3 linked regions of the Caenorhabditis elegans genome follow. The protein of the gene in region 3 interacts with the protein of the main gene of each other region in a pairwise test. Each region holds a gene or a part of one and is shown on either strand. Other genes may lie near its edges. The genes, in order: R05G6.10, selt-1.1 and add-1.

What was found.
Region 1: the proteins of add-1 (region 3) and R05G6.10 interact in a two-hybrid assay, tested with the Caenorhabditis elegans proteins (one large-scale study listed by BioGRID).
Region 2: the proteins of add-1 (region 3) and selt-1.1 interact in a two-hybrid assay, tested with the Caenorhabditis elegans proteins (one large-scale study listed by BioGRID).

Annotation. Positions count from the first base shown.
Region 1 is NC_003282.8:7,536,365-7,546,709, forward strand, and holds the start of R05G6.10 (Ras-GEF domain-containing family member 1B), read right to left. Parts: upstream 6,172-10,345; coding exon 6,139-6,171; intron 5,897-6,138; exon of another isoform or gene 5,533-5,896; coding exon of another isoform or gene 5,401-5,532; intron 4,913-5,400; coding exon of another isoform or gene 4,759-4,912; intron 4,713-4,758; coding exon of another isoform or gene 4,523-4,712; intron 4,476-4,522; coding exon of another isoform or gene 4,376-4,475; intron 4,152-4,375; coding exon of another isoform or gene 4,049-4,151; intron 3,651-4,048; exon of another isoform or gene 3,630-3,650; intron 3,394-3,629; coding exon of another isoform or gene 3,335-3,393; exon of another isoform or gene 3,215-3,334; intron 2,561-3,214; exon of another isoform or gene 2,411-2,560; intron 2,124-2,410; exon of another isoform or gene 1,980-2,123; intron 1-1,979. Other genes in the region: R05G6.1 (Phospholipid scramblase), read left to right, coding at 3,335-3,393, 4,049-4,151, 4,376-4,475, 4,523-4,712, 4,759-4,912, 5,401-5,532; pam-1 (Puromycin-sensitive aminopeptidase), read right to left, coding at 7,776-7,862, 7,909-8,569, 8,616-9,544, 9,590-9,824, 9,901-10,345.
Region 2 is NC_003284.9:11,539,284-11,548,526, forward strand, and holds selt-1.1 (Thioredoxin reductase-like selenoprotein T homolog selt-1.1), read right to left. Parts: upstream 7,213-9,243; coding exon 7,146-7,212; intron 7,103-7,145; coding exon 7,003-7,102; intron 6,806-7,002; coding exon 6,698-6,805; intron 6,646-6,697; coding exon 6,522-6,645; intron 6,472-6,521; coding exon 6,127-6,471; 3' UTR 5,808-6,126; downstream 1-5,807. Other genes in the region: gcp-2.2 (N-acetylated-alpha-linked acidic dipeptidase 2), read left to right, coding at 19-130, 180-267, 316-497, 726-870, 914-1,027, 1,068-1,165, 1,222-1,340, 1,432-1,505 and 3 more.
Region 3 is NC_003284.9:4,851,805-4,865,016, forward strand, and holds add-1 (Adducin-related protein 1), read right to left. Parts: upstream 8,240-13,212; 5' UTR 8,233-8,239; coding exon 8,134-8,232; intron 7,898-8,133; coding exon 7,805-7,897; intron 7,732-7,804; coding exon 7,623-7,731; intron 7,301-7,622; coding exon 7,158-7,300; intron 7,039-7,157; exon of another isoform or gene 6,889-7,038; intron 6,763-6,888; coding exon 6,619-6,762; intron 6,571-6,618; coding exon 6,403-6,570; intron 6,057-6,402; coding exon 5,997-6,056; intron 5,940-5,996; coding exon 5,841-5,939; intron 5,537-5,840; coding exon 5,452-5,536; intron 5,397-5,451; coding exon 5,311-5,396; intron 5,250-5,310; coding exon 4,977-5,249; intron 4,433-4,976; coding exon 4,220-4,432; intron 4,171-4,219; coding exon 3,912-4,170; intron 3,618-3,911; coding exon 3,516-3,617; intron 3,408-3,515; coding exon 3,348-3,407; intron 3,252-3,347; coding exon 3,162-3,251; coding exon of another isoform or gene 3,088-3,161; intron 3,070-3,087; coding exon 3,026-3,069; intron 2,671-3,025; coding exon 2,599-2,670; and 4 more. Other genes in the region: F39C12.1 (GATOR2 complex protein MIO zinc-ribbon like domain-containing protein), read right to left, coding at 634-750, 797-993, 1,050-1,134, 1,206-1,261. UniProt on the Caenorhabditis elegans protein: Membrane-cytoskeleton-associated protein that promotes the assembly of the spectrin-actin network. Plays a role in time-dependent memmory loss and the retention of conditioned behavior over time.

The sequences.
Region 1 (10,345 bases), on a different chromosome or scaffold from region 3:
TCTATTCTTTTCAATTGCTGAGTCAAGTAACTTGTATTCATTCTAAAAATACTTTAAATGCACTTTTTGATCGAAAATCTGATGAAACAGAGAGTTAGATGTTGTCTAGACAGTCTCTAGTGACAAAAAAGTCCCAAAAGAATTAAATAATAAATTTGGGAAGATTTCATTATTGAATATTACTTCATGCTTTTTCATTTAATTCGAGTTACGTCAGATTCCAAGTATGGAATTTGAAAAGTACTATCAGTTAGTTGTCATAGCACACACTTTTCACAAAATTTCAAAAGTGTTAAAACAAGACACTTTTTCTCAATAAAAGAAACACGGTGAGAGTATCCTTGATTTCGTTCCTGGTAGATTCAAAATGTTGGGATTTTTATTGGTTTTTTGAAATGTTTATTACACTAATTCAGAGAAAATTTTCTAAATTTGTTTTTTTCTTTAAAAATTCTCAATCTTTACTATGAAAAACAAATCATTTAGATTTTCAAAAATTTTTTGACTCTATATTTCTCGCTCGTCGTTCGCGACTCCGCCTCATTAACGCAACATTACTCGCTTTCGAGTCCAGTCATAAATAATAAGCTTCATCATTATCAACATGCTTTTATTACTCTTTTCATTACCCTTGATAGTTTTGCTCATCCCCATTTTTTTTCAATTTCAAAGTGAAATATAGTAGGCTAGACTAGAAAACAAACAAAACAAAACGATAGTTTTGAAAACATTACGTAGATATTTAGAGAGGATGTAGATGCTTATAAAAGAATTCAGAAGGTGAGAAAAAGTAATTTGAGGTGACATTCCTTTTAAAAAATTTGGGAGCACCTTTCAGTTGTATCGAAAAAATACCAACGAAATTCCTAGCGGTTTTCTGCAAAACTCTTCGAGCCGATTCATTTTCTATAACTTTCAAAGTAGTTCGGAATTTTTAATAGTACTAAAATGTCCAAATATATGTTTTAATTTTTTAATTGTTTTTTTACAGTCACAGCGCAAAAAGGTGAGAAATGTCATTTTCCACCTACCATAATTTTGGAAATCGACCGAAAATGTTGTCCACGAGTTATATAGTGCGTATTCAAACTTTATAGGTCTACGAACCCACAACAGTGCTCAAAATTATATTTTTGGAAAACTTGGGAAATTGGAATATAATAATTATTATTGCTAAATCTCCACTGTCCTTTAATGTCATTAAGTCGCCTCGTCCTCATTTTTGGTGATTTAACTAATTATTTAATTGAAATTAAGAAAGTGCAGCAAAAAAGAGAAAATCAAGTGTACTTTAAAGTTAAAAATATTAGAGTATACGTTTTTGAAGAAACATATTGCCATGTCATAACCCTTATAAGTCTAGTATTTAGTATCAGCTCAAATTAGTTAAAGTTTAGTAGAATTCCGTATTAAAGCTTGGACTATTCCACAGCAGAAACTATCTCCTTTTTGCATAAAAAACTACTTTCCGTTTTGAAATAATCAAATATTCGTCGAAGTAGTTGAAATTTCATCCCATCCGATCTTCGTGCTCTACCTCATTCTGCTGATTTTCAAAATTTCGAAATTCTCTGGCATCTTCTATTTATTCGCATTCTATCCAACGTCACTATGCTCCGATTAGATCTAATCCCGTCACATTGTTCAACAATTTTGAGGTTAGGTGAACAAATTGAAAATTCACATCAAAGAAGAAAGGTTCGCTATTTTATATTAAAAATCAAGGAAACAGTAATATATTTGTTTGTCTTATTTCTTATTGCTTCATCAATCAGAGACCATCCCAATTGCTTCTCATTCCACCCTCGTAAACGTAAACATCCTTTTTTTCCTTCATCTTAATCTCGCTCAGTTTCCATTTTTGGAGAACAAGATTTTTAAGAGGATTTCAGAAAAAAAAAGACGAAAGTTCGTCATTTTTCTCCTTCTTCTTTACCAATATCACCATTCACTTAAATTTTCAATTGGAGTAGCATACACGAGATCACACGCAACTTCTTCCTCATCCTCTCCTTTTTCCACTCAATCCATTCGAGCCGGATTTAGTGAGGGCATGAAGGAGAATCATCACGCTAAGAAGGCAAAGTTCTGTGACCCAGAAAAGAACTTTTGAAAAGCTTCCGATCGAAATGAGCACTTCTCTCTCTTTTCTGGATCCAATTCTCCACCCATCATTACACCATTTGACAACTCTCAATTCAACAAAATACACACTCACACAGAAGCATACAAATTTAATTTGAAAAATGAAAAATGTCCGTTTGATTCTCGCCTTTTTTTGTCATATTTTATTCGCATGTTTTGCAACAAAACATTACAAAAAAGAAACAATTTCATTATGACGTCTAGAGCTTTGGCACTTTGAAATAATTATTCGATTACTTATAATTCTAAATGATCACTTTTTGATTTTAGATAATCAACTACTTTTCACAAAACTAGTTTGTGGAACACATTGAAAAAATCACCGATTTTCCTAATTTCTCTACGTGACTTAGGATTTATAAGTATGTAGTTTAATACACAGTTGATATTTAGCCAAATTTACATAACTCCTTTCTCGATTTGATGCACACTTTTTTGCGGAAAGAAACAGATTTCATTCTCGAACCAATGTTCTTCTTCAAATATACTACTTGATTTATTTTTTGAAAATTAAACAATTATGATATTGTTCCTTAAATGATTATGGACGCCACAAAAAACTAATTTGGAAAGTAAACTTCTTGCAATTTTCCGAGTCTTATCGGAAATTTGTTATAAATTTTTAGTGATATTCTACGATAATGATTATATTTTTCTTTGATATATATATTTCAAAAATGATAGTACTCCTAAACGTTTTGGACACTGGCACACTTCTTAGAATCAATTTTCTGAAAATTCAAATGAACTATATTTTAAGAAAACAACAAATCTTAATATTTATAAAATCAGGCTACTAACAAACACTCACTAGAGGACAATTTGATCTTTACTCCTAAAATTAATGAATTACTAATTCAACTTTTTAGTCTATCATTAAATTAAAAAAAGTATCAACACTCAATTTACCTCCCTCTTCTCATTAAAAAAACTTCCTTCATCCGCCTCTTCGTTCTCATAAATCGAGATATTCATAAATGTGAATGAATGAGAAAAGCAGTGTCTTTGAATAAATTTAAATAACTTATCAAATACATTTACGTCCTTATTCAGAAATTTTTCGTTACAGAAGCATCTGACAGCAAGTACCACTGCTGAAAAAGAGGCAAAAAGAGCAAAAAGGGAGTCGAAGAAGCAGAAGGAGAAGAATCAGAAAGCGGCTGAAAAGTCGAACAACGCTCCGGACGGAATGACCAATACTGGACGGAGAACTTCTTCAGTTACTGCACAAATATCGAGACAAGCAAGGTATGTAAAGCTACTAGATATAAATAAATTTTTAAAATAGCCATGTTAATCATTTCAAAGTGCTGATTGTAGACCTTTGACAATTTTTATGGTTTCTCAAAAAGTCTAAATTATCCAAATACCTGGCAAATTGCCTAAACTTGTTTTGCGTTTTTTATCTGATTTCATCGTGTTTAATTTATAAATATACTCTGTTTCACCCATTTTACGTATATATTATCGCGAATGCACCATAATGATAATGTTAAAAGTGCTGAAAAAACATGCTGAAAAAACCAAAATTCGTTGAAAAGATTTTCTCACTATCAGAAGCTATACTTTAAGTTTTAGAACAAACACGAATTTTGATAAAACAGAAAAAAAACAAGAAAATATTCAAAGTCAACCAGTTAAAATCCTTCAGAATTTTAACTTTTGGCAATTTTAAATACATAAATGAAATAAAATCTAGATAATGAAAACTGCCTACATATCTTCGAAAAAGGAAATAAAGATTTTTCATTCCAAGAAAGGCTCCGCCAAAAAAATGCACGAAAGGGGAAATGAGAAGCGCAAAAAAAGCGTTATTCTTTGTTCAAGTGCTCCTTTTCCAATTTCATTGCAAAAACTGATTCCTCAATTTTTCCACCCAAAAATAATGGAAAAAGTGTTGCAGACGCTTCTCAACAGCCATCGCACCGACACTCACCAAAATTGAAGCAGTTCACATTCTACAGAAATTAGATGAAGTTCGAGTGAAAATGAATGATGTGGCACAGGTTTGTTGAATGAAATAGAAAACTGGAAGAAAATGAAAAGAATTAATTTGTTCTGTTTTGTGTTCTGCAAAAAACCAGATATTAGAACAAGCAAGAGGACGGGACTGGATGGAGAATAATGACAGAGAATTAGATGAAGAAAAAAGAAAAGTTTCAACGGAAATTAGAACCAAATCCCTTAGATTAAATGTTTTAAAGACTTCAGTAAATTCCAATTTTTTCAGCTACAAGGAGCAATTGAACACTATGTGCTTCGAAACTCTGCACAGTTTGATCCTGTCGAATTGGATATTATCAACAAAGAAGGTTACAGAATCATGCAAGGTTAGAAGATAATCATAAAAACTATTTTAAAAAATTCAATTTTCCAGCAAGTGTCTATCCAGATGAGATAATTCTTCAAGAAGGCAGTAAAAAAATCTGTGAAATTACGTTAATCGACACTGAAGACACAAGTAGCATGCTTAAAATCAAGCATCCGGTTTCTGGAATGACAGTCTATGAACTTCGTGAACTCGGTGGAACCATTCTCATTCAAACAAACACTGATGAATTGAAAGGGTGAGATTCTAATAATGACTATTCTCATAAATTTTACCAACTTTAGGGCTCGAGTTATGACACAGACATCTGGATTGAGCAGTTTATTTTTAAACTGTGGTTGTGCATTTAGCAAAGAAACGTGGTCAGTGCTGACACAAGACAAGATTATGGCAAATGTTCGACCGAATCGTTCATTTTGGTCAGAGAATGAGATTAAGGTATGTTTCTTGAAACAGTAAATTAAATTATACCGTTTACAAAATTAATAATTAAATTAAACTTTTACTTACTGCTGATTCAGAATTTTTTAAAGCATTTTTAGCACTTAACTGTTTTAATCATATTTGCAACAAATATTTGAAGAGAGTGTAATTATTTTTAGATTTTTGGATCATACCATGTAGGTTTTTTAACTTGAATATAGTTGCATCTCTAGAACAAAAACTTTTACATTATAGTGTGACACGAAACCAATTTTGATCCTACCAATTTACTATTCAGTTACATACTTCAAAATTTGAAATATTTTCGAATAGGTATTTCAAAGCAATTTCCATATAAAAACCACACCAGCTTCTCTACAAACTTTTAATTTGATTTTGAGATTTTGGTTATTTTAGAAAATTTTCAAGTTTTACAAAACGCTGTTAGGGTCTTCAAAAAGGAAAAACAGAATGGTTTTATGATTAATTCTGAAAAATTGCAGATTCAATGGGATCCGAACTGTGAAAACGAACTTCGTCTAATCTCTCTCGTATTTGGAATTGGACAAATGGTTAGAGTGGCTTTTCCTCAATTATTCCACATTGTCAAAGAATTCCGCCAACGAAATCAATAATTAAATCCCTTCCTATCACGGTTAATTTCTCAAATATCATTCGTTTTTTCCTTTTTATGAAGCAGTTGTGCCAAGAAGATTTTTGTATGTATATTTTATCAACTGAAAGTCATCATATATTCTCGGGAGCTTTCTTTTTTTATCCATATAGTCTCTGATTTACCCAAAAGTATCTAAGATCAAAGTGCCTTTCTCAAAAAATTCTTCAACAATTTCAATCAGCGCAAATATTCAAATATTCTCCAATCATAATTTCAACAAAACGCAATCATTTTCTCATTATTTTGTAAAAATTTCGGGGATTCTTCATTTTTAATTGTATGTCACCAAATCTTCATTCTTAAATAAATAATTTGTGATTTGATCAGCATTTAGTTAATCTCGCCAGGAAACGGTATTTGATCTCAACACGAACGAAAAGTTTTAAATTAAAAAAAACCAACTACTGTACTGTACTTCAATTTTTATAGGCGCACACTCCATGTTGATAGCTTTCATAGAAAATTTTTAGTTTTGTCGAGACGAAGTTTTTTGGCTTTAAAAAAATTTTAATGTACTGCACAATTATGGATCTGAGTAGTAGAAAAGCTCCATTAAATAACTGACCTGATGCCAAAACTGAGTGACAGAAGACTTCATATGATTCAGCGGAAAAATCTGTAAAAGATGAAAAATTGGGGGGGGAGGAATTGAGGACGAAATAGACCGGAAATAACATGAATGACAATGCAGAAAATAGGCGACAACGGAAGATTCAAAATGACCAGAAAAGGGAGCAATTAGTAGAAGAATAGAAGGGAAAGAGCTAAAGAGAAAAAAAAGAAGAAGAAGAGCAAGTTCGAAAAAGGGACAGACGGATAAGATGGGGGGATCCCGTACACTAATCGTATTTCAAATGAGACTCCGAACGAATTCAATTTAAAGAGTTTGGAACAATGGGAAAGTGGGGAACATGGTGGTCAAATTATTCTTCTTATTTCAAAAACTATTTTGGCAACAAACAAGGGTGTTGGTGATTTCTTGGTGGAAATATGTATGCTTCTTTTTCTCCCTATCTTTCCATTTTAGTACGAAACCCCTTTGAGTTGTTTGTCATCATGTATCATTGGTGTTTTGAGAATGATGAACCTTCAATAATTTCTGAATTCGTATGATTTCATTCTAATATTTAATTAGTGTGCGACAGGAGTTGAAGAAAAATTCGATGTGCGGCAGAATGTTGACAATACTTGTTAGCGAATTCACAGTTTGCGTCTAAAATTGGAAAGAATTCAATGTTCAATAGAAACTTTAACAGTGTGTGTCAGAAAATTGACAATATGAGTCTGAAAGTAGACGAAAAAATAAAGAGGTTAATGTACGACAGAAAGTTGGAAATGTAGTCAATTGTGGTTCTTTTTGAAATAAAATCCCCATTGGTCTTATATTTTGAAAACTTTAATTTTGAAAGCTGGGATGTGAGTTGATTTTTCGAATTTTCCCGGCACTTGTACACAAAAGTTCCCAAAAGTTTATACATTCTGTATTATCCAAAAAGTTGTTTGATTATTAAAGTAAATTCGTATGATCTACAAAAACATCTAATGTATCAAAAAAGTATATAAAAGTGCAGCTATATTCGGCAACTGGTGGTCTTCTCTCTTTTTTCGTCGTCAGTTCTCCCACGAGACTTTAGAAATGCGACAGGAAATGCTCATCGAGCCAATCTCAGTAAGGCCAGTGAAAGGGTGTCATCCTCTGCTTTCACCACCCAAAAATGACAACACACAACTCGAATTACGAGCTCATGAGATTTCTAAAATGTTTCGTTTCTCTTGGGAGACTTGTTATTCGAGTTTTAAAAAATAGTCTCGATTATATTTGCGACCCACTTTTTTCCAATTTAAGAAAAAAAAATAGTTTCCAAAGAAAAGAGGTAGTAAATTGTACTGATGACCTTCACAATCGTCAACTCTAACTGATGGAACCTTCTTCCAAATGCATAATTCTTTCGTGGCCACATCGGATGGTGCCAGCTATTGAAAAATTCAGCACTTCAATTTAACCAAGTGCTCTTCTCATTCTAAAACTACACACTTCTCTCCTTTACGCATCAGCAGCAGTTTATTTCATTTGAAAAATAAAACAATACATAGTATTGTGCCATAAGCAAAATTGACGAGAGGGGGGAAAAATAAATAAAAACGGGTCTGAAATCTGATAAAACCAGTGGAATATGAATAGAAAGATTGAGGTCTAATAAATTAAACGTTGCTCTGTTTAAGAAGATTTTCAATGATTTGGCGGTTGGATTCGAGCAGGCGAGCGTTCAAACGGATAGCTTCGACGGTCTGAAATTTATGCTTTTTGAACAATTAAACTTGAAAAAATAAATACCTGTCCGATGGGTCTGGCCAAAGTCTGGCGATCCGTATCGCTGAGAACATTGCAATTGCAGAAGAAATCTTGAAACTCGACAGCTCGTTTTTCGTTTCCAAAACTTTCTCCAGCAAACTTGAGGCATCGCTGGAAGAGACTCGAGTTGGCACCTCCGTATTTGTCGAGGAACTCTTTAATGTGCTCGCAGAAATATTTCCACGCGTATTGCTGTCCCATATGAGTCGCTCCAGTTCCGAGGAAGAGATACAGCTGATCTTGTGGACGGACCTTGTTCTTCTCAAATCCATATTCGAAAAGTTGGGCAAGAAGTGACTCCTCCGGAGTTTGAGACATTGCTACCATGGTTTGTCTTTCGATCTCTTGGAATGTGGTAGTTTCACGGAGATTCATTAGCTTATCGAATCCTTCCTTTCCTCCATACCGAGCAACAACACCGAAAGTGGCTAGCCGAATGTCTGGATGAATTGGCGTTCCTTTCTCCAGGAAATCATTGAACATCTGAGTGAACTTGTCAATTGTTGGTTGATGACCTGCACGGGCGAGTCGTGCTTGAACAAGCGATCTCAACATCATTTTCTGCGAGTCTTCTCCAGCTTGTTCTGCGAATCCGAGCTCTGCCCCAGTCTGCTCGAACATCTTAACGACGAGTTGTTTAGCACTGAAATAATATACTGTCAATTAATTTTGAATCGCTAATATCAAACCTCTTCAAAGTGTCTTCGGACATTTCACGAGCACAAGCCAAGAGCTTGCTCATTCCTTCATCGATAGCTCCCCAGACAACATATTCATCTTCTTTTGCGGAAGAAGCTGCGACTTGAACAAACTGTGCGATGGAAACACGTCCGGTATTGAGAAGAGCAGAGAGATCATTAATCAATCCGAATCGATCGAGTACTGGCATTCGGCGAGAAGCGATATCGGGCAGCATTGCAGTTAGCATTTCATCCGAATATTCGACTCGGTAGAATCCAGTTGTTCCAGAGTTGAGCTTCACCCATTCTCCTGGAGCGACACCTTCAATCGTGAATTCTTGCTGCTTCTCCTTTAGCAAAAATCTGGCTTTCACATCACTTGGAGAACTTCCGACAGCAACTGTAATTGGCACTTGCCACTGGCTATTTTTCGGGTCTTCACCTCCATCGGAAATGAATCGACGTTGCTCCACGGTCAAAATGCGATTGTTACCATCTTGTCTCTGGGAGACCTTCAGCACAGGGAATCCCATTTGTTGGGTCCAACCGGACATCAATTCATTCACGTTTTGTCCTGAAGCCTCGCTCAGTGCGGTCCACAAATCTTGAGTAACTGCATTCGAATATTGGAATCTCTTCAAATAGAGGCGAAGTCCTTTTTGAAAAACTGGCTCCGATAGATAATAGCAGAGCATGCGGTTGACTGAATTGGATTTGGCGTAAGTGATCGAATCGTAAATCTCATCAAGCTCATTCGGATTATCAATTTCAACTTCGATTGGATGAGAGTTTCGAAGTGCATCAAGTCCCATTCCAGACGCGAGTTCATCATTCAGGAAATGAAGCCAGATCTTGAACTCTGGACAGTTAGCGCCAACGAACATGTATTCCATGAATGATGCAAATCCTTCTTTAAGCCAAAGATCAGTCCACCATTTCTGAAAAGAATGAATATATATGTTTATTAGTTGAAAATTCCCTACCATAGTCACAAGATTTCCGAACCATAAATGAGCCAACTCGTGAGCAACGACTAAAGCAACTCTAGACTTTTGTCTGGTGGACGTGACTCCTGGATCAACAAGAAGAGCGATTTCACGATACGTGACAAGTCCCCAGTTCTCCATCGCACCCATTGAGAAGTCCGGAATAGCAATCAGGTCACATTTTGGAAGAGGGTATTTGATGTCGAACCACTCATTGTACCAGTCAATGCACCTGAAAATTAGAAATTGAAACTTCATTTGAATTATTACTGAAAATTCAGCTAAAATTATTCTTTAAGATAACTCACTTCACAGAAAGATCCAAACTGTATTGACCTTGTTCTTTCTTTCCAGGTACAGTATACACACGCATCTCAACTCCGCTTTTCGTTTGTGCACTGATATATTCCAGCTCACCAACGGCGAAAGCGACGAGATACGATGACATCTTTGGTGAAGTTGCAAATGTAACTGCCTTTCTCTTTCCATCAGCAGTCGGTGTTTCGGAGATTACATTCATATTGGAGAGAGCGGTCAGATGATTTTCTACTTCCAAAGTAACGTCGAAAGTTGCCTTGTAAATTGGCTCATCGAAACATGGGAATGCATAGCGAGCATAAGTCGACTCAAACTGAGTTGAAGCCAAGAACTTTTCGGTGCCGTTCTTATCCTTGTACTGACTGCGATAAAATCCTCGCATCTTATCGTTCAGTTCACCGACAAACTTGAAGTCGAGCTGAACCTTCTGTGGCT
Region 2 (9,243 bases), 6.7 Mb from region 3:
CTGAAATAAAAATTACAGTTGTTAGATGAAAAGAAAATACCTACCATTCCCATGCTCCCAATTACATATGCCACAGCACAAATATTATTTGAGAATATGAAAGGCGATGCAGTGAATGCAGATTTTCAAGGTTTCAAAGTGAAACTGTATATTTGTACAATACCAGCGTTTACATTTAGGAAAGTTAAATGTTACATATCGTTATGGACCTGGCTTGATAAACAATCAGAAACTTCGTGTTACCGTTCATGCTGAAAACGAAGAACGGTCAGTTATAGTTGTAGAATTGATAAGTAGATTGCGTTTGAATTTTAGAAAAATTCAAAATATAATGGGATATATCAAAGGAAGTCAGGAACCGGACAAGTTTGTTCTAGTGAGCAATCATTATGATGCTTGGACTTATGGGGCTGTTGATCCAAACAGTGGAACATCTACGCTTTTAGAAGTTTCCAGAGCGTTGAAACAATATCAAAATCAAACCGGCTGGATACCAGGTATTTTAAAAATGTTTCATCGCATCATTTCACTTGCTTTATTTGAGAAAAAATATGAACTAGAAACTCAGGCGATGTGAACAGACATGGTTTTTTAAGAGATATAATGTACATGAAACAGGGTGAGGATAAAATATGAATGATGTATAAAAACTTGTTGAGACATTGAAATAGCTTACTTTTTCTTTTTATTCAGAGAAGTAGAAACAATATATAATAAATTTTTAGCGCGATCAATTCTGTTCGCTCATTGGGATGCCGAGGAATATGGTCTGATAGGATCCACTGAGTTTGCGGAAGAATACCGTCTTCAATTAATGAGAAGAGCAGTTGCAGTTATTAATATGGATCTTATTGGTGGCAACCAGACTTTGTTAGCTCCGAGTATTGACTGAGTGGAAATTAAGATTTTGCAGACTTGGGTTATCGAATCCTACCGTCGCCAATGTTCTCCGGTCTGCAGCGGCAAATGTTGAGCAGCCAAATCCGACAGAAATGGAACAAGGGAGAAAAACACTATACGATTCCTGGTAATAAAAAATTTTGAATTGCATAACTAATAGTTTTAAGGAAATACTATGCGCCATCAAAGAACAATCGATCAACCCATCCTTATCAAAGAATCCCCGCTGGTGGAAGTGATCATCTTCCATTTTTTGATTATCTTGGTACGTTAGTTCATAAAACGACACATCGAAATCATTTACTATTGTTTAACTTACAGGAATCCCAATTGTCTTTTTCATCACTTCATCCCTAGATGCACCTCCAACTTATCCACTGTATCATACAATTTATGAAACACCATATCTGATTGAAAATATTATGGATCCTGGCTACAAGGTACAATGCAGTTTGAGACATTCATTGTAGGCTAAATATATCATTGCCGTTGTTGATAAACAAATTTTTGATTTTAAACAAAAAATTACAGGTTCATAAAGCCATTGCCGGGATGTTTATAGAATGCATTTTGAAGTTTACCGAGAGTAAAATCCTTCCTTATGAGTAAGAAAAATGTGTTTTGCAGCACTGAACATGTTGAAAATTTCAGTCTGAATGAACTTATGGATGACTCGATCTTTGAATATTTGCCAAAACTAGAAGATCGTCTAAATAAAACGTTAATGATTGGAACTAAGACTGATTATTTGCTGGATGCACAGAAACAGTTCAAACTGTTACAAAAAACAGTTTTGGTTTGTTTGAAATGCTTCCCAAACCAAACAAATATTATTTCAGGAACTTTCTGAGATCGTACAAAGAAGAAATGTCTCGAAACTTGAAGAGCTACCATTCGGCAGTAGAGTGGACATAAATAATCGGCTTATCGAGTAATGCAAATTGGAAAATAATTTTCGATTTTCAAAACTTTCAGATTTGAAAAATGTTTTATAAACCCACATGGGGCAATTGGAAATCCTCAAGCTCGACATGTATTGTTTCATCCAAGCCCTGATAATTGGTATGATGGAGATGCAATTTCACAAGTTCACGATTTGATATCAAAAATTAGCAATTCGACAGACAGCAAGGAGTTGGGAAAATTGTCGAGACAACTAGCAAAAGAAATTGCTCTAGTTAATGTTGCTTACATATGTGCCAAACATTCCCTCGGCGAATTTTTCACAATGTGATCACGTTTGATAGACTCTCAGAGTAATAATTATTTAAATGTCAACTTTTTAAAGTGTAAGGTGGAGTAGTGCAAGTGGGGAAAGTGTTTAAATGGTGAAAATGACCAAAAATAATTGCAAAACATTACAACAAAATTTTGGAATGTTTTTATTTACTGCAAAAAAATGATACCTACTCAGTTTTTGCCAGTGCGACATAAGTCTGGATTTGCTTGAAAGCTTACAGTTACAGAAATTTTTTAAAAACTCTTGAATTTTGGAGTGTTTTATTGCGATATTCAGACAAAATCCCCACTGGCGATGTTTACTATTTAACCAATAAATGTATTTTGAATACAGTAACGTTGAGAAAACTTGACATTAAAAAAACTCACAGAAAATTTCGAATTAGTTTTTCATTTGACCCGTTCGAATGTACATTCGTTCAAATTTCAACCAACACATTCCAACGGAAGTTTGATGCCTGTTCAAAAATCATGGACAGATTATTTTTTTAATCAGGAACGAGAGCATGTCGAACACATCTAACGCCGAAAACTAGTTTTTATCAGGAACTTCTGAATTAAATCCCTAAAATAATGTATTCTTACGAATAAATAATGAAACTATTTTTTAAACTCGTCGACTTTGCCAGTAATATTTGCATTTTATCAAAGCATATAAATATAACCTGGTAAACGAATCACTTTTCTATGATATAACGTTTTTCAAAAATCGAACATGAAAAAAGGATTACAAATATTCGGCGTTGTATTACTTCTAGCAGCGACAGTTGTTGTAACTGTACTCATTTCAAATTATGTACATCAGCTTTCAATGTCGAGTGGGACACCTACAATACAAAATACAGGTAAATTGAAGAGAGAAAAAAGTTTCCTATGGTTCTATCTGACTGCAAATGATTTATGAGACCACTTTGAAAAGTTTTTGAAGAGTTAATTGTATAGTATTTCAGTTTCAATCGCAAATAATATCAGACAGCTTATTAACACTGACAAAATTCGCTCCAATCTTCATTCGCTCACTAAAAAAGCTCATGTGGCCGGAACAGAAAACAACTTGCGAGTGGCTGAAATTATTCGAGATCAAATGATCTCTCAAGGTCTCGAAAATGTTCATTTTAACGAGTATAATGTGTTGCTATCATACCCTGATTGGACGACTCCCAACATTGTTGAAATACTCGAAGAAAATGGAGATGTATTTTATAAAACTACGGGACGGAGCATATCTATTATTGAAGAAGAACAGAATGATTTGGTTTCTGAAATACAATGGCTTGCATATTCGGCTGATGGAACAGTTGAAGGAGATATTGTTTATGTCAACAAAGGTACTCCAAAGGATATCGAGCATATAGAATCGTTGGGGATAGATCTGAAGGTTTATTCCTAGTATAAAAAGTATTAATACAGCAGAAAACTTTTTAGGACAAAATTGTTCTCGCTAGATACAGTTCTAACTTCCGTGGTAACATAGCTCAAATGGCCGTCAAAAAAGGAGCAAAAGCATGTCTTCTCTACTCAGACCCTATGCAAGTAGCAAGTCTTGGAACCGGACCAAGTGAGTTTTTCAAAATAATACAAGCAAACTTCAATCCGTTTTTTGTAATAGATAGTACATATGGAAGAACAGATAAGATGCCATCACATGCCGTTCAAAGAGGCACATGCTATGTTCAATCAGGAGACCCCAGATTGCCGGCATTCCCTTCTATAAAAAATCTCTTCAAAGAAAAATCAGAGCAAGAGGTTTTACAGATATTTAAATTATAAAAACGTAGTATTTTTCCAGTTGTTGGATGGAAAAAAGATCCCAACTATTCACTACTTCCAATTCCATATAGCGCAGCGCAAATTTTATTCGAAAAAATGAAAGGAGACGCCGTCATTGCAGATTTTCAAGGTTGTTTGAAATCTACATTTCCACCGAAATTACAAGTTACTTTTTTAGGAAAACTTGACGTCACATACCGATATGGTCCGGGACTGATAAATAATCAGAAACTTAGAGTAACTGTGCACGCTAAAAATGAGGAACGGTTTGTTTTTTATTAACTGGGCAGTTTTCGGATTTTATTTTAATCCTTAGAAAAATTCAAAACGTTCTTGGATATATAAAGGGAAGCCAAGAGCCGGATAAGTTTGTGCTAGTGGGAAATCATTATGATGCTTGGACGTACGGAGCAGTAGATCCAAACAGTGTCACATCGACCCTCTTGGAAGTAACCAGAGCATTAAAAGCATATCAAAATCTTACAGGATGGAGACCAGGTATTTTCAAACACTAAACAAGTTATGTATAATAGGATTTCGAATCACTTCCGTTATTAGAAAACATTTCAATATGTACACCCACGTGTTTAATATTATAACAGTTACTTTCACTCTTGTCCTGAAAATGGGTTTTTTAACGAGATCAATTCTGTTCGCTCATTGGGATGCTGAGGAATATGGTCTGATTGGGTCCACAGAGTTTGCAGAGGAGCATCGTACTCAGTTAATGAGAAGAGCTGTTGCATATATAAATACGGATATGATTGGAGGAAACCAGTCATTGTAAGTAGTGAAGTTAAAAAAGTATAATCTGAAACTTTGCTTTATCAGACTTGCTATGGCTAATCCTACAGTTGTTAATGTTCTTCGTGCAGCTGCAGCAAAAATTTCACATCCAAATCCGTTAGAAATAGAAAACGGAAGAGAGACACTATATGATTCTTGGTAGTAAAAAGTATGAAGAACAAACAATTATAATTGAATTCAGGAAAACATTTCTCCCTCACAAAACAATAATTCCTCACATCCATTTTACCAGCTTCCAGCAGGTGGCAGTGATCATTTGTCTTTCTTTAATTATTTGGGTTAGATTTTCAAAAAACCGAAATTTACAGAAAAACTAGTTCATGCAGGTATTCCGATGGTTTTCTTTGTCACATCATCATTGGACAGCCCGCCTGTTTATCCCCTCATATCATACAATTTACGAAACACCCTATTTGATAGACAATATTCTTGATCCAGAGTACAAGGCAATAAAATCCCAGAGTAAACCTCGACAATTATCATTTTTCAGATGCATAAAGCTATGGGCGAGATGTTAATTGAGTGCATTTTAAACTTTTCGGAAAGCAGAATTCTTCCTTATGAGTAAGCACTGCAATTTGCGTTTTCTACCAAGTAGAAATAATTTCAGCTTAAAAGAGTTAATGGACAGAGTTCTTGATGAGTATTTCCCGAGAATACAACAACACATTAATAAGGCTCAGACTTTTGAAAACATTTCTGAGTACTTGACTGAGCCCCAGAAACAGTTTGAACTGTTAGAAAAGACAGCAAAGGTATGCATGCTTATGAAAACTTCAATTTTCACATATTAGATTTTTCAGATTTGAAAAATGTTTCATAAACCCGCATGGTATCCTTGGAGATCCGCAGAGTCGTCATGTGCTCTTCCGCCCGAGTGCGGACAACTGGTATCGTGGAAACGCAATCTCTCAAGTACACAGCTTGATATCAAAAATGGAAACTTCAGTAGACGACGAAGAACTCTTAAAATATTCTAAGCAATTATCCAAGGAGATTGCTTTTGTAAATGTTGCATTCATTTGCGCGAAACATTCCTTAAACGAATTTTTTACTTTGTGATTTGTTTTTAAATAAACAAAACTAATACTCTAGTAAAAAATATTATTTCTGAAAAATTTCAAATGAAAAAACTGGTTTCAAAAATTTGATTCCTTAATGGTAAATAATTATTTAAAAAAAAACAAAACGTAACATTATTTGAATAGAAAATCATTAGAGGTGAAATAAAAGTGGCGAGAATTTTTATGACTGCAAATAATTTACACACGTTGAGAAACAAATAAAAAGTTAATTTAACTTAATAAAATAAGGCGTCGGATGACGAGTGAGGGAATGAATCAGTTTGAGCAGCAAGAATACATTGTAAATAATTATGGTAACACGGTGTCAAATTGAAAACATAGCGTTTTAGACAGTCTGTTGGAACTCTCCAAATGATTCTGTGTTGACAGGAGCTTTTCCGAGCACCGCAAGTTGAGCATCGATAAGTTGCATGAATTCCTGAGGGGATGGTACACGACCTGACTCGATTTTACTCCAGATTTGTTCATTGCCAAGGTAAACTTCGAATGCTCCAGTAGAAATGAGACTTTGTTCAACAAGGTTGCCGAGCATGAACACCAGCATACAGGACGACATCTTGTTTCCGTGTGCGTGCTGCAGAATCTGTGGGTATCCAAGACCAAATCTCTCAAATGGATTTATTCCACCTAGCACCAGCACGAGAACTGCCATTTTGACGAAACTGAGAGCCTAAAAATACATTTTATAAATAATCCAAGTCACTTCAAATTGAACAGTACCTGAGCAACATAAGCTTTCCAAAGAACCGGTGCAAAGTTGGCTCCTTCAATTGGCATATTTGGATACTTTTCTTTGGCAAAAGTGGTGAACTGGTCGAAAGCTTGCTTATAACCACATGAAACACTGAAAAATTATGCATAATTTCTAGTAGAACCTATATATGTATAAATATTACCAGTAGAAAATTCTCAATGTTGGAAGATCCTTGGCGTGGTGGACGGCTGTAGGCTTAACAAATGAGGATTGCTCCCGGACTTCAATATGATCTTCTTCGGTTCCTTGACTGAAAAAATTAAGTTTTGTAGCACTTGTTTGAAAAATTTCAGTTAACCTGTTGGAAACTAATTATCATGAACTTAGAAATTTTATTGAGCACCTTAGAAAGCTTGAAAAATTGAAAACGGTCATGCGTTAGATTTTCACTTTTTTGAAAATAAAATTGATTTTAATTTCACAATTCGACCTTTAAAAAAATAATACCTGAAGCTTTGTGAATCTGTTTCGTCTCCAAATTCTGCTTCAAAATCGTCCTTTTCATGTACGTGGTTCTCATCGTGTGAATGCTCTTCCGCTGAAACAGCTACTTGGGTTGTTTATTTCATTTATGATGTGTCACAACTTACTTCTCAGCACATCACAAACTGACATAAAGAAGAGAACTCCTATGATAAATACCCCAAACCGTGACATCTGAAAAATCAATAATGGCAAAAAAAACATCAAAACACTATAGAGAAGGAAATGAAATTTTTCATCATCTTTTTTGCAACAAAAAAAATTAGATAAAAATGTCAGAGAAGAACACATTTGATGAAGTGTTTTACACTAGAAAAAGCAAAGAAAGCGGACGCGCAGGAGAGTATGATATGACAGAAACACCCTCTCGACACACAAGCGGACAACACAGGGTATTCCAAACGAGCGCGCAGCACCAAGACCACTGCGGAGTCTCAGCGATCAATACTTGACTCGCCCGTAGCAAACGCGCCCCATCACTCGCCAGTGTCTGATGCCTCCGCGCCTCACACACTCTCTCGTTCTCTTTGAACGGTTCTCGGTGTGTGTATGCGTGTGTGTTTGGAGGACGTTGAGTCACCTCATATTCGCACACTCGCATAACCTTTAATTTTATGTGCACAGTCTTCTCTTTCCTTGTTTCTCATTTTAACTCGTTTTTTATTGTTCATTGGATATGATATGGGAGGAGTTGTTTTGATGTGATCAATACGCTACGTTATAGAATTAGTTTCTTTTTGAGATTCTTAATGGATTCTTGGTTTCCGTGAAGGTCAAACAGTCAAACACAAGAAATCGGTTTCCGAGAAAGTGAACTTTGTTGTCGTGCAATTGCAATATCTTATTGAGACTTTTTTACAATGAGTTAATTTCTTATTTTGGTACTTGTGTATTACATACTTTCATTTTAAAATTAATGAAAATGCTCATTGATTTCTCCGTTTAAATTGAACGTGATGTGGAATTTTCCTCGTTTGGCTCAGAAATGCTTATTTTCTAATTGTAAGCTTTAAAATATAAAAAAATTTCCACACTTTTTTATTTTTACAACTTAAAAATTACTTTAAAAATGAGTGCATGTAATACACAAGCAGTGTTTGCAAGTTTAAACTTCCTTTCAAAAAAAAATATGTATATCTTAATAAATGTTTTTCACCCCCAGTGTCTTAGAAAAATGTAATTGACCATTTCTCAAATCTAATGACAAACATCTTGCTTTTGCAATTCATCGTGGATTCTCATTATTTTTGAAAAGCATCTATCTTCTTTTCGTGCTAGCATCTCAATCTCAAAAAGTTACACCACCAACAATACGCATCTCACATTTGCCGAGGTGGAGTGGTGACAAACTAATTGAATCGCATCCGGATTCTTCCACTTCTCACTCCTGAAGGAAAACAAAAAAAAAAGGAACTTGCCCTTCTCATCCATCTTTTCCCCCAACCTAACCCATCTCACCTCAAATGCATTAGTTTTATGGGCTTTTACGACAGATATCAATGACTTGAAGAAGGAGGGGGAGTCACTACGTGTGTATGTGTATGTGTGTGGATGGCCTTTAGACACTAACATCCTCAGATGTTCTAAATTAACCGTCCGTACACTTTGCAATTTCTGGGGTCAGTGCCCACGACGCGTTTCCTCTGGCTCCACAATGACTCATCCGCAGATGTGTGAGGTCTCCCTTTCTCCGAGGTTTTCGTTTTTCAAATGCTCATTTGCATTCAAAACGATTCGTTCTTCACATTTTTCTTTCAATTCTCCAAATTTTCGGTTTTTGTTCCACGCTTTGTCATGTTTCTCTTTCATCACTTTGTTCGCTACCCATTTTAGGATTCTTTCCCCATTATTTTCTATTCTGCGTTTGTATTGTTCTAATGGCTTCATGCCACGTCACGCAACAACATCGTATTTTGCAATGACCCTGGAAAGGGCCTGCTTGGCATGACAGTATTCGGGTGCCAGCAACACCTGTTATCGAAACACTCATTATTTCAACCGATGCCCCCATGAGTCATGGGTATGAAAACGCCCTCTTCTTGAGTATTTCGTTTTGCTTTTTTTAACTTGTCTTCAGAAATACGTTCACCATTAGTGTTATTTCCTAAATTTTCGATTTAAATTTTGTTTCAATTTAGTTAGATTTTTTTTTGCTAATCTTATATTTGTAAAAACCTTTTTCTTCAAACTTTGTACTTTTCAGTT
Region 3 (13,212 bases):
ACTCTCACTGCCTCCCCCCTCTCTCATTTTTTTATTTCCGAAAATGTTTTCGCGGGTTTTTTGAAACATAACTCATGTAGTTTTTTTTTTCAATTTAAATGCAAACAAAATTGTGTAAGCGTGATGTTTTATGCTAATTTGATTTGAAAATATGTTTGATTGTGTTTGGAATTTATCGCGTGTAACATTCAGACTTCTTAGGATAACGTAAAAATGTTTTTATATAATAATTATAAAAAATGCCACTGACGTCCTTTTATCACGATTTTTGGAATATGAATAGCTGTAAATCGAAAATAGGGTGCTTTCATGATAGGCAGGCACCCTAATGCCTACCTGCCGCCTTTTTCCTGCACTTTGGTGTCTATGCTCAAGTTTTTGATTGAATAATTTTAATAAATGTTGATGAAAATCACATTAAGAAAGTTTTGAAAAAAGTTCGTGTGTATTAGCATCAGGCTCGGGTAGGCGCGATGTCGGCAAACGTTGCTTTAAAAACAGGCAGGCAGGCGTCTTGGCGCCTATATGAAAGCCTTAGGGAAGACATAACTTATGCCGTTTCTTTTCGACTAATAGCTGATTTTTTTTCAATTCTACCCTTGCTCGAATCGCACATATTTGAATGCAACTTACACAGAAGAATCTGTTCTATGATTTACAGCAAGCATTCCTTTGTCGAGTCGTCCAACACGTAACCCGTAGATGGTTTCACCAGGCAATGAGCAAAGGTTTTGACCACTGATTTTGGTGCTGTAAAATTGATGATAAGTTGACAAACGTTCGATTCCGGACTCACAAGTTGATATCGTTAAAATTACTAATATACCGGGCAAGGCAAATGTCACCGGTATTTTTGGAATATGGAAAATAAGTGATATGTTCGTGAAAGTCGATTGCAGTCACAAATTCCTGTTTCGATTTGTCAGTCAGTTTATGTTTAAAATATGGTTCACTGCTACGAAACGCGTCCATCGGATGCATGATTTCGCGAACCTACAAAAAGATTAGGTATTGATTTTCTTCCATGTCATTATTTTTCGTTAACTCACCGACAAATGGTCCGTTGGGTCATATTCAACAATGATACGTTCACTGATAAAACGCATCTCACGTTTCAATCCGAATTCGTTGAATCTGAAACAAAATAAACGTTTCTAAACAGGTAAAATAACTCATTTTCTACTTCAAACCATGAAATAACTCACTCATTTGGACATATTTCTTTAAAAATGTCATCAAATCCAATGTCAGGATCAGTCATTGTCACACAACTGAAAAGGAAATTCTGGCTAGCAAAAAATTGAAGTTTAGTGAATAAAACTAAAAGAAACACATTAGAATATAAGGTTTGAAACACAAAGAGTGTCCAACTCTTTTATCTTCGAGTCGTATCTTCGGCCGCGGCCACGACCACTTGCGAGACAACGCTGCGATGGAAGAGACGCAGATGGATAGTCTAAACAACACAACAGAGAATGTATTAATGGCAATTTGCCGTCGAATGAGGCGACACTCAATGGGCAGACGTTAGTTTGTCGGAAGGGTTATGAAGGCAAATATTGTTATCAGCATGGTGCAGTGTCATGTTTGTTACCATAAAATTATCCGTAAATTAGTATTTTCATTAATTCAAAAAATCAAACTTTGAAACTAAAACTTGTTATTTCTACAAGAACAAACAATTTAAAAATCAAAATGTGTAAGATTCGTTGTGCCAAATAGTGGCCAAGAGCGCTGTGCATTTTTTTCTGCAATTCTACAGAATATGTCTAGGCGGTTTTTACCCTAAATGACAGTAAATAATCACAATGTTCCAAACATAACTGTAAAAAGTCATACAATGATCAAAATAATGTTTTTCAATTGTGCAAAGAAAAAAATAGAAGAAGACTGAACTTATTTTTTTTCCTGCACAAAATGATCTAGCTGTAACATTTTTCCGGCTAAATTCATTCATTAAAAATATTTAAAAGCCTGTTTTGTAGCATAATTTATCGAATTTTCAGACTTTTACAGGAAAGTTAATTTGATTACCCGAAGAAATTTGCTGAAACTAGAGTTGGTGTGGAAATCGATAATCTAACGTGTGTAAAAACTATCATATATTCCAAGGAAAGTGTCTGGAAAACGAGCACTTTGAGTTTTATAGCAACAACCAAAAATAAACTGGATAACTTTTTTAATCTGCTAAATTCGTTGAGAAAAGCTATTTTCGTAGTCACTTTGCCGAATTCTTCTCTGTCCTGGCTTTTTTTTGTAATATAATATAATTATTTATAGATGAAAGTATAAAAAACTTGATGGAAATGCAAATACATAATATAAAAAAAATATGCGTACAAAATGACATTTTAAAAATATTCGAAAAACAAAAGACAAAGCACAGAGTGTTGCTATTATCCATAACCGGAATTGAAAGTTCACGGGAAAGAAAGAAAAGTCCAGAGACTAGACATATGTTTCTTGACGGTAAATTGGGCGTAGTATATCCGGATCTGAAAATTGAAAAGAAAACATAGAAAAAGTTATCGAAAAGTGTTAGAGTTAAGTGATGTGAACGTGTTGGTGAGAGCAAGGTGAGAGCAAAACTCTCATTTTTCATTTGTCCTTTTTTCGCATAAATGACAAAAATCCTTTCTTTTTCTTCTTTTTCTCATCTTTTGTAGGCTTCTGAAATAAAAAACGGTGTAAAATAAGTGCTTGATTAGTCCCAAAAGCAGAGAAGTTAGCAAATATTTCAATCTTATTTGAAGGTAGAGTAGAGTCAGTGGGGTTTTGCCCAAAATAACAGAAAACAGTTTATATATAGAGAATACAACTGTAAAAAGTTTAATTTTTTCATTGAATTTTTTTAAAATTTTTCAGAAATTGTTAAAATATCAAAAAAAAACTTCTAATTTGAAAAAAAACATTATTAAAAATTTAATATATTACTTTATAGTTTTTCTGTTATTTATGGCAAGAAACCTCATTCTTTTTTAAGTTTGAAACATTTGAAAAACTATTTGCTTCCAAAAATTCTTACTTCTTCTTCAGACGCTGTAGTGCACGATCGAGACGTTGTATTGCCTAAATGTTACAACTCAGTTATTGATTAGTTAGCTGATGCGCTCGAAAAAAAAGTGAAAACACAAATAGACACCACGTAGTTACAAATATACCTTCACTTGTTCCTTGAGTCGACGAAAATCGCGTCATTTTAACTTTTTCAGGGTACTCTGTCGAAATTGACATCGGAGAAGGGTGATCGCCTGTACACAAAGAGTTAGAAAATCTGTGAAAGTTATAAAAAGCTTTGAAGCCACCACACACATGCTACACAGAAAGAATAAGGAAAATAAACCTACAATCGAACACAACTGACTGGCTCATGTACGACGTATTGACGCTTTCTTCGGAAGTTCGGACTGGAAATATGGAAAATAGGCATTCAAATAATTTAAAACACTGGAAAACAAAGCGATAGAAAACAGGCGCATCGATAAAATGTGAAGGAGCAACCACATAAAAATTACCATTATTCGGGGAGATTCCGGCATTCAGGCCGTCGTCAGATGCGCTCAGAGCCGCTTGAGAAAGTTTATGTTCTCGTACTCCTTGCATTAAGGAAACTGTATCTGGAATAATTTTTGAAAATCGGCTGGTTACAACTAGAGAAGCTATTTTTAGACCTTTGTCAGCAATATATTTTCAAAAATATATTTTGTAAGTGGAGCCAAAAAGAACATACTCAAAACAAGTGGCATCCCACAAGTGTTTTGAACCCCAGATTTTCAGTTAAAAACTCGCAACACAACATGGATTTTTTGCAGTGTTTATTTTATTTTATTACGTTTTAAATAAAGGAATTTCAGTTTTCGTTTTCAAAAACGACTTTAAAAATTGCTGTTTTTTTGTTTCAGCTACCTTACCAGCTTCAACCTCATCGTATTGAGAGTAACCACTTCTCGCTGAGACAGGAGCGCTTTGCGAGTTCTTGGCCTTCACCATGTCTACATATTTCTTGATGTCTGCATCAGTTTCTACAGAGAATGGATTCGGCGCATAGATTTGGTGGTACACCTGAGCATGATGCTGAAATTGCCTATCAATGATTCCCTTGCTGGCAGTTCCGATAAGTATTGCTCGGTCAGCGGTCGAGCTCTGTCCGACTGTTCCGTCATTATCAGGCTGAAAGATTACAAAATAATAAATGAATTTTCAAGACGGGATATTTCACTTTAATCAATAGTGCAATGTCTTCATATGTCACACTGTCCAAAATCTGGCTTTGTGGTCCAGCAGAAAGAGTTCCCAGTCTGTTGTTTTCTTTGATAGCTTTTTGTTTTTCTTTAAATTCTTTAGGATTTGAAGACGCAGGACTGAATTGATGAACACTGCTGATTTTGACAGGGGTTCCACTCGCGGATGGAACGTTGACGTCATGAACCCACTGAAATGATTTGAACTTGTGTAAATTTAAAACACTTTAAAATTAATTTTTTCTCCAATGATTTATCATAGATGTTTAATTTGAACTCAATAACCAAATGCGACCGAATTTTATAATGAGACTTCTCAAAAAACTTTAATACATATTTTTATTGCGGATCAAAATTTTCAAAACACAATTAGGCACAGCCTGAATCGATAGTTGGTATTGGAGCAATTTTGAACATTTTCTGACACTACTCCAATATTGAAAAATACATTTTTTTATTGCGTTAGCATAACATGTATTCATAATGTGCATAATGACAACAATCCAAAAATTAGTGACATAGAAATTATCCAAAACAAAAATTCACTAGTAGGGCCCACCCATATCATAGCTATTTGGGTTTTCAAATCTCTGTTTATAGTTTTTAATTTAATGTTTCTTCAAATTTTTTTGTACATTTATATGAAAATAACTGTGTAAACATAATGACACAAACCATCAGAAGTTCATGTACAAATTTTATTTTCGTACTGCAAAAGTTGAAAACAGTTCTTACTTTAGTTATCTTCTTTGGGTTATCTGCTCCATACTCCAAAAATTCAACCTTCTGATATGCATTTGGACTGTTCATCCAACGAACCCGCTCCTGCTCCTTGCGCAGTAAAGCCAGACGATGTGCAGATACACTTTCCAAGTTTGTTTCATCAATTTGTCCATAAGCTGATGTAGTTGGCGGAACAGCAACATCATTGTTGTTCACCATTGACGTAGACATTGCAGATTTGGGCCGCAGTTGTGGTTGACGATAGACGTGCCCGGTTTGAAAATTCTATAATTAGTAGCAATTTTTAGTGAAACAACTGTGAGCAGGGCGAAAAAATTCTGCTCACCGCATGATCCAACACTCTCATCCAAGACTCCCATTCTAATTCTCCGACTCTCCAATCAACTGTTCCATTTCGTTTCAGGGAATTCGCTACAAAAGCATTATAGATGTATTTTAAATTTCAATATATATTGCAGAATCTTACTATTTCGAGAATTTCTGAACGCTCTTTGTATTGCTTTCTCTTCCGGAATGATGAGGTTGTCAAGTCCAGCCCTTGCGGCACGTACCTTACAAAAATATTTTGTTTTTGGAAACTTTGATTATGTATTTTGTATTTGATATGAAATAATATTTCTCATTTATTATAACTTTTCTAAACCTGATGGTCACAAGCAGTGACTAAGTTGCGCATAATTATAGATGTCTCTTCAACGGAATTTCCAACAACAAAACATCCTTCTCCTCTGATCAGCAGAACCTTAAATGTTTTAATCCCATCGTCATTTCATAAAAAATAAGCATTTGGCGATAGAATTGAACTACTGGCGGCAGGGCAGCGTGTAATTTTTAAATATGAGAAACTTCAAAAACCTGAGTTTCGCATGCTATCACAGTGTTGTTGGCTAGAAAAGTGGCATGCTCGATAGTGTCACCGACAACAAGGAATCCTTGATTGCGGAGGAAAAGGACCTGAAACGAAGCATAGAAAAGCGGATAGAAAAGCAGTTCAAAGTAAAGCTAACGCACGTTTTTGTCTCCAAGATTTGCAATAATTTCGTCAAATTGAATATCATCATCACCAATGTCCTGAAAAGAAAATTCAACAATTTTTTTGATTTTATAGTTAAAGTCATGTGAAAGGTTAATGAAAATTTAAACCGTTCGAAGGTCGACGATGAACTTTTCTATATCTACTTTAAGTACTAAAACTACCGATTTACATGATAAACTTTTTCAAATTTTGGCAAAGTACCAAAACTTTGACTGGAAAAAAATCATCAAAAAATAATTTTAAAAAACGGTTGCCGATTTTGCTTCTAGTTTCTTTAACCTTCAGATTTTCAATTTTCTCTCGTTCACACTTAAATTTTTCAGATTATGAAAATAACCACACAAGTGATTGTTTTTCTTCAAATTCAATATTTTTGCTAACCTGATAATCGTGATATCCAACTGGCCCAAGCACCATTGCTTCCTTACATAGAGGCAATAAACCACATTTCATACTAGCCACAGCCGCCACAATTGCCGTGTGCATATGAAGAATGCATCTGACCATTGGGTGAGCTTTGTAAATTGCAGAATGAAGAAGAAACGCAGGCTTAACTTGATGAGTGCAAAAATAAGTCGTTTTTGATTTTAAAGGTACCTGGTTGACTCCAGCTTTCAGTGTCCCGCAATCCAGAATTTTTCCATTTTCATCTATCTTCACGATGGTCGCAGCAGTGATTTCATGGTAGAGAAGACCAAATGGATTCATCAGAAAAGTGTTATCCTCATCGTTGGTTCGATACTAAATCAATTTTGTTAAAATTCTTCTAGAAAGGTAAATATGGTGTTTTTACTTTTGTAGAAGTTTCATAGAAATATAATTTTAATACATTTTTTTAAACACGTCGTTAATGGACCTGCTAGTTAACTCACGTCGGAAAATAAAGTGGTGTGTAACCGGAACACAACACTGAACAAAAAAAATCCCAATTTAAAGCTGATTAATCCTTACATTTTGGCAGCTGTTTCAGAAGTTTCGTATTTTAATAAAGTTGAAATTCATACAATTTCTACACGCGTTGTATTTGCTATATTGTAAAATAAATTTGGTTGATTGCAAAATTTTACTTTAAACCACAGGTTCAAGTTTTAAATTTTTGTGGTAATTTTAAAAAGTCAATACTTCAAGCACCCTACCGAGATTTCGTTATGAATCCCTTGTGACCACTGGAACAGGTCAGCTAGTCGAAACAAGCATGCCAATTTGTTTCTCTGGATACGTTCCGCTTTTGAATACTTCTCGTTTCCACGAAGATCAGCAATTGCAATGGTGTTTCCACCTGAAACATAGATTACATGATTTATCGGAAATTGTCAACTTACAGAAGTTCAAGTTTGTAAAAATATTGCAATTTTGTTTATGCATGGGAATCTTAGATTTTTGATATTATAATACTTTACTAGAAAAACAAAAAAAGTATATCTACTTTTGTGTCACAAGGTTTCAGCATAGCTAAAATTCGTATAGGAAAGTTTTCTGCATTATAACATGTTGTAACTCCTCGTGTGAATAAGCATAAATCGAGTTTCTTTTGTCAAAATAAGGAAAAAAAACCAAGTTATCCGTTTTTCGAATACATTATTCCAAAATATAATACAAACCATATGTGTGAAGGTTGCCAAACGACATGTTTCCTTGTGGAACTGTGAGGTCCGAAAGTTTCTGGAGTACTTGCAAGTGATCCGGATCCGTACGTGCTGTATCACACTCCTAGATGTAAAATGTTTTGTACAAAATTACATTTATTGAAACAAAATAACGAGAAAAAAGACAAATTACAAACCTGACGAATAACTTCTTCTAGCTCGTGGCAGAATGATTTTGATTCAAGTATCTGTTGCACTCTTTTCCGTCTCTCCATCTCTGACAAATCCTCCTAAAATAGAGCATTTCTCATCCATCTTTTAAGCTGATTAAAGAGCGAGCACTCCTTTCTCTTCTTCTCTTGCATTTTCCATTCAATTTCCCAAGTCTTTTCAAAAAATGACACTGCGCTAATAATGGCAGGTTTCATTAATTGAAGTTCTTGGAAAAAGAGAAAAAAGAGAGCTGAGGAGGGAAAACTTGATGTGCTCTAGTTTTTTTTACGGAAAAACTTGGAGCAGCACTTACTTTGATTACTGCCGGTCTTTGCAAATCTTTGATATATTCAGGGTCATCTGGGTCTCGATAGTATGGACGTTCCCGTTCCTTCTCTTTTCTTCCAATCATCTGAAACTTTATTGAAGTTTAAGAAAATTGAAAATGAGATTGAAATATTGAAATTCAAGAAAAAATCACAAAGTTTAGAAAAGTAAACATTACTTTGCAAATATGAAAATGGGATGTAGTGTACAAATATGAATTTAAAAATAAAAATAATAAAATTATTCTAAATGTGCGATGATTTTCTGAATTATGTTTAAATTCCCGCGCAAATGGATGGCCTACTTTTGATATTGTCTTGTTTTCCTGTTTCATTATTGGTCTTTTAACGTTAAATTTCTGTTTGTCAAATTTTTAGACATTTTTTCAAGATGAAAAACTGTTATAAAGGTGTTAACAGTTGAACTTACTAAAGATTGAAATATCAAATTAAGTAAAAAAGGGTTCACAAGTTATCGGAAACTGTATTTACAAATAAGGATTTTTTAAGATATGCTAAATCGGATGTATACAATTTCATGAAAATAATTTGACATTTCTACTAGCACACAGCTTACACAAAGCTGTACTAAAAAGCATGAATTGATCGAAAAATAGTTCATTCAGCGTGAGACTATTCGATGGCGAGCCATCTGATTTGTATACAAAATTTGGTTATTGCATACCTCCTGCGTTATATAACATTTGCTCTACGGGTGGCACACTTGCCATGAGAAAGTGTATACATCTAATTACCTATGAAGCATGGCAAACGGTAATATTGAAAAATATTAATTGGAAATGTGAATTTGACCCTAAAATGTTTGTGGTTTTTGCGTCAGTCAAATTCTCCAACACACTACTTTTGTCTGCGATGGAAGCGATAAACGGCAAACAAGAATGAGAACCTTAAGGTATCCGCCTGTTGCGATAAAGTTCTTCTTATGTCAAATCTAATTTAAGGAATGAGGGAAGAAAAGGAAGACCGAAAAGAAACTCAAGTCTACATGTACTCTATTTTGGAGAAAGATAGAAAGAGGCGCCGAGCAGAAAACCCAAGACATTTTATTCAGGATGGTTAATCACAATGAAAAGAAAATGGAATAAATAGAATGCACTTGTCCGAGTGGTGCACAAGTAGGGTGGCTCAAATGAAAAAGAACGGTGAAGCAAAATGGAAGTGGAAATTTTCGAATTGAGCTAGGCCAATTAGTTTTGTGAGATTTCATTACTTTTTGGGAAAGTAACCATTTTTCCGCAAACAGAGTTTTATAACTCAAAATAAATTTGTCAAAATTTAAAAATCGGTTTGAACTTTTCAGATTAATTATTCCGATAAGATAATATTGCAGCACTACTACGAAATGCTGAAACAATATTTCTATTTAAAAATTCTAAGCTTTTTCAATAATTTGCGGTCAATGCAATTATTTATAATACCACTTACTGTAAAATTCTTAGTCTGAAATTTGAAATGCTTTAACTTTCAGAAACTTGAAATACTCTTCCAAAAAAACCCCAAACTGGTGTTTAACCAATGCGGCAACAATAGAAGAAACATGCCGAATTGCGATTAAATCTTATATCAAACACACACGCACACACACCTATGGTGACGATAGTAAAACAAACTATTTGTTTTAACCTTTTTGATTAAATAGATCTGATAAAAAGAACAAGTGGAGAAAACAGGAAAACAAAACATGTATCTCTCGCCCTTTTTCCTCACCTTGAATCAATTACCCTTCTTGGAGACTTTTATTGAGAAAAGTTAGGGAAGTAAATAGAAAGTGAGAAAAACGAAAGAATTGAAAAAAGATCGCTGCTGTCAATTGAGCGAAACAGAATCTTTATTCAAATCAAGGTTGTCTATCGGTTTCTGGAGACTCAAAAAGGCAGTGTTCATTTGTTGTGTATCTTTTGGCTTGGAGAAAAGACGAAACACGCCTTACGGTTCATTGAAAACACCGAATTTCGAAAGCTAAACTGTTTGCTATTCAAAACAAAAGCTCAACAACAGTGATATGATTTTTGAATTCAGTTTTGCGTGGAAAACCAAATAATCAAATAGGAAGTCAGAGAACGCTGAGAAAAAGAATCGATAAACTCGCTGCGTTACTGTACAATACTCGTTGCTCGAAACAGTTGTCATAAAAATTTGATGTGCCCGTAAGGCAAAGAGAGAATAAAACGTATTGAGAAGAAGAGAGTTTGGAAAGCGAGAAGTGGAAGAATATGAACAGGCAAACTTTTTCGGAACAAAACTATTCTGCAAAAAAGAGGAGCAGTACACAAGATGTGCTATCAGTTGTCATCTAGATAGTGCCATTTGGAGCATTTCGTAGCGACCGACAACACACACAAATAATGAGTTGAAGTGTGAAATGGGAGGCATGGAATAGAACATTTGTCAGACCATGCACCAGCCGCCCGATGGTCTATCTTACACGCACTCGAATTTGCATTTCGTTTAAAGAACCCAAGGCGGTCGGAGAGAGTGCGTTTGAATAATTAGATCGTCCAACAATAACATTGGCGAAACATGGATCCGGCAACAAAGAATCTTACAGTTTGTGGTTGTAAATATTTTTAAATCTTTGTGATCAGAGAATGATAGCTTCGAAGTTTCAATGAAAAAGTGCTTTTGAGGCGAACTCTGGAATTACTACATTTCCGCAAACATTATTACACCTTGTTACCGTATATTCTCTATTAGTGCTGCATCTCCAGTAGTACTGCAGTCTCTATTAGTGCTGCACCCCATTTTCTACTGAAAGAGTCACTCAATAGTTTTGACATTTTGGGGAGTGTTTTTTTTGTATATTTTTGAAGATTTCTAGTTAATTTACAAACATAATTGAATTATTGGGTCATTTTTGTTACAAAATTTCTCAATTTTAATGGATTTCTGCTTAAAAGATGAGCATTTGTGACTAAAAACTAGTGATCTCCAATTGAAAAAAGTCGTTCGAAAATTAGTACCGCAGTCTCTAATAGTGCTGCACTCAAAAAGGGCCTGGAAATTAGTGCTGCTTGCAGCACTAATAGAGAATATACGGTACTTTATTTTTGAGATGTTTGAAATGTTATATGTTCCTAAATAAAACAGAAATATGCATTTCATGTTTGCATAAACTCCAAAATTAAAGACATACCCGAGGGACTTTTTTTTTCTATAGAAAACCATAAAACTGGAAGTGTGAAAGATATGTCTGGTCCGACATCTACCGGGCCCCGCGCCGCACTGTGTTAACCCTGCAAAACTAGTCTAGGGAACCAGGTAAATGTCGGACCATACAATTTAGTCACTCTTCCTATTTTGAGACTTTCTCAAAAATTGTTTCTCAGAATGAACGTTTCCGAAATTTAGAAGTTTCTGCATGCACTTTTGTTGTGTTGAGATAAAGTTTTCGAAATTTTCGTGTTTTGTTTTGCTTTACATTTTCTTTATTTGAAAGTGCTGGAAATTCTTGCAGAAATGAAAGAAAGAAAAATTCAAATTTACAAAAATATATTTAAAGCTTGCATGCAGTACTAATTGAACGAAGGAATGGTAAGACGCCAATTATTGAGTTATTTAACAGAAGTAAGTAACGATTAGTGTACTTTTCTAATGAAACAAAAACTATAAGATAGATAGAAATAAAAGAAGCAACACCACAACCACACTTTCAGTTAGATGCCATGAGATCGTTTTGAAAGTAGATAATTGCGTTTAGAAATATGATCCTGTTGGCTAAAGCCAATAAGCATGGAGGGGTGCGAGGAGGGGACCAGAAAAATATTCCTTCTATCTTTTTTTGCTTGCAGAAAATTTTGAAGAACAAGGGCCAAATCTTTAAAGCAGGGGGAAGAGTGGAGAGGATGGGAGGGCAACGAGACAAAAATTCATGCACAACGAGCGAGAAAAGTCCCTTACGCGTGAAAAAAATGTGGAGCAACAAGGTCTTACCGAAAAAAGGCACTCCGAAAAAAACGGCATTTCAGCTGACGGGTGAAGATAGAATACGCAACAATCTATCAAGTTGTTCAGAAGAAGAAAAAAACGCTGATGCCCATTGGAAATGTGTTACGCGTTTACGCGTCTAACAGTCATCAAAACACGATAAACTCGAGATTGAGTGCTCAAAACGGATTTGTTGGAAAAATTGGGAGAAAAGTGGGGAAAAGTAACGGTGACCCAGATGCGGCAGTTTGAAAGATGTAGCCTAATGGAATTAGAGCAATCTTCTAGTAGTACGGAATTGGTCGCTTTAAAGTACGCAGTTAGTCTCTGCAGAACTAAAAGACAAAAAGAGGCACGAATCTCGGAGAAGACACAAGAAGGGCCCCTCCTCTTAAGACAACACAATTTTTTTGGAACAACGGAACTTGTTGCTGGCAATAATGATTGTAGAAAATCTCTAATTTATGAGCATGTAACACATTGACGTGCTCGTAAAAGCAACAAGTATACCACCAAAGCAGCAGATAATGCCAGTTGACTCCAGATGACAAATCGGTGTCGTGAAGTCGCGGCAATCCCCCAGAGCAAATGCCGCATCTTTTCAAACACTTACCAATGTGCGCTCCAAATTTGATGAATTAGCTATTTGGCGTATATTCGAAACTGGAGAATGTTCACTTTGCCGTTTTTTGTTGTTTTAATTTTATGTCAGAAGTCTGTAGATTCTGAGTGAGTGAATGAGTTGTAAAACTTTTACATCAATGAACTTCTATGTAATCTGGATGCGGATTTAGTATATTTTGAGTAACATTTTTGTTTTTTTGTACTTCCTTTTTTCTCAATTTTCGTAATCTCTTTTCATATGATTTTTTATAACACGTCACAATTGTTTCATTGCAAACTACAGATTCATATTGTGAGTTTCTATTCAATAACGACAAAAACATTTTCCAAACAGATGCCCTAAATTTTGACACTTTTTGCTTCACTTCTGCTCATAAAAAACACCTTGTAACCTGATTTTGAATTTTGTTGGGAACTTGTGAATTATTGAAACCTTCGGAAGTTTTTGGCAATCGACGAAGTCTGCAATTCTTCTGAAAGTGTCAAAAAATAATTTT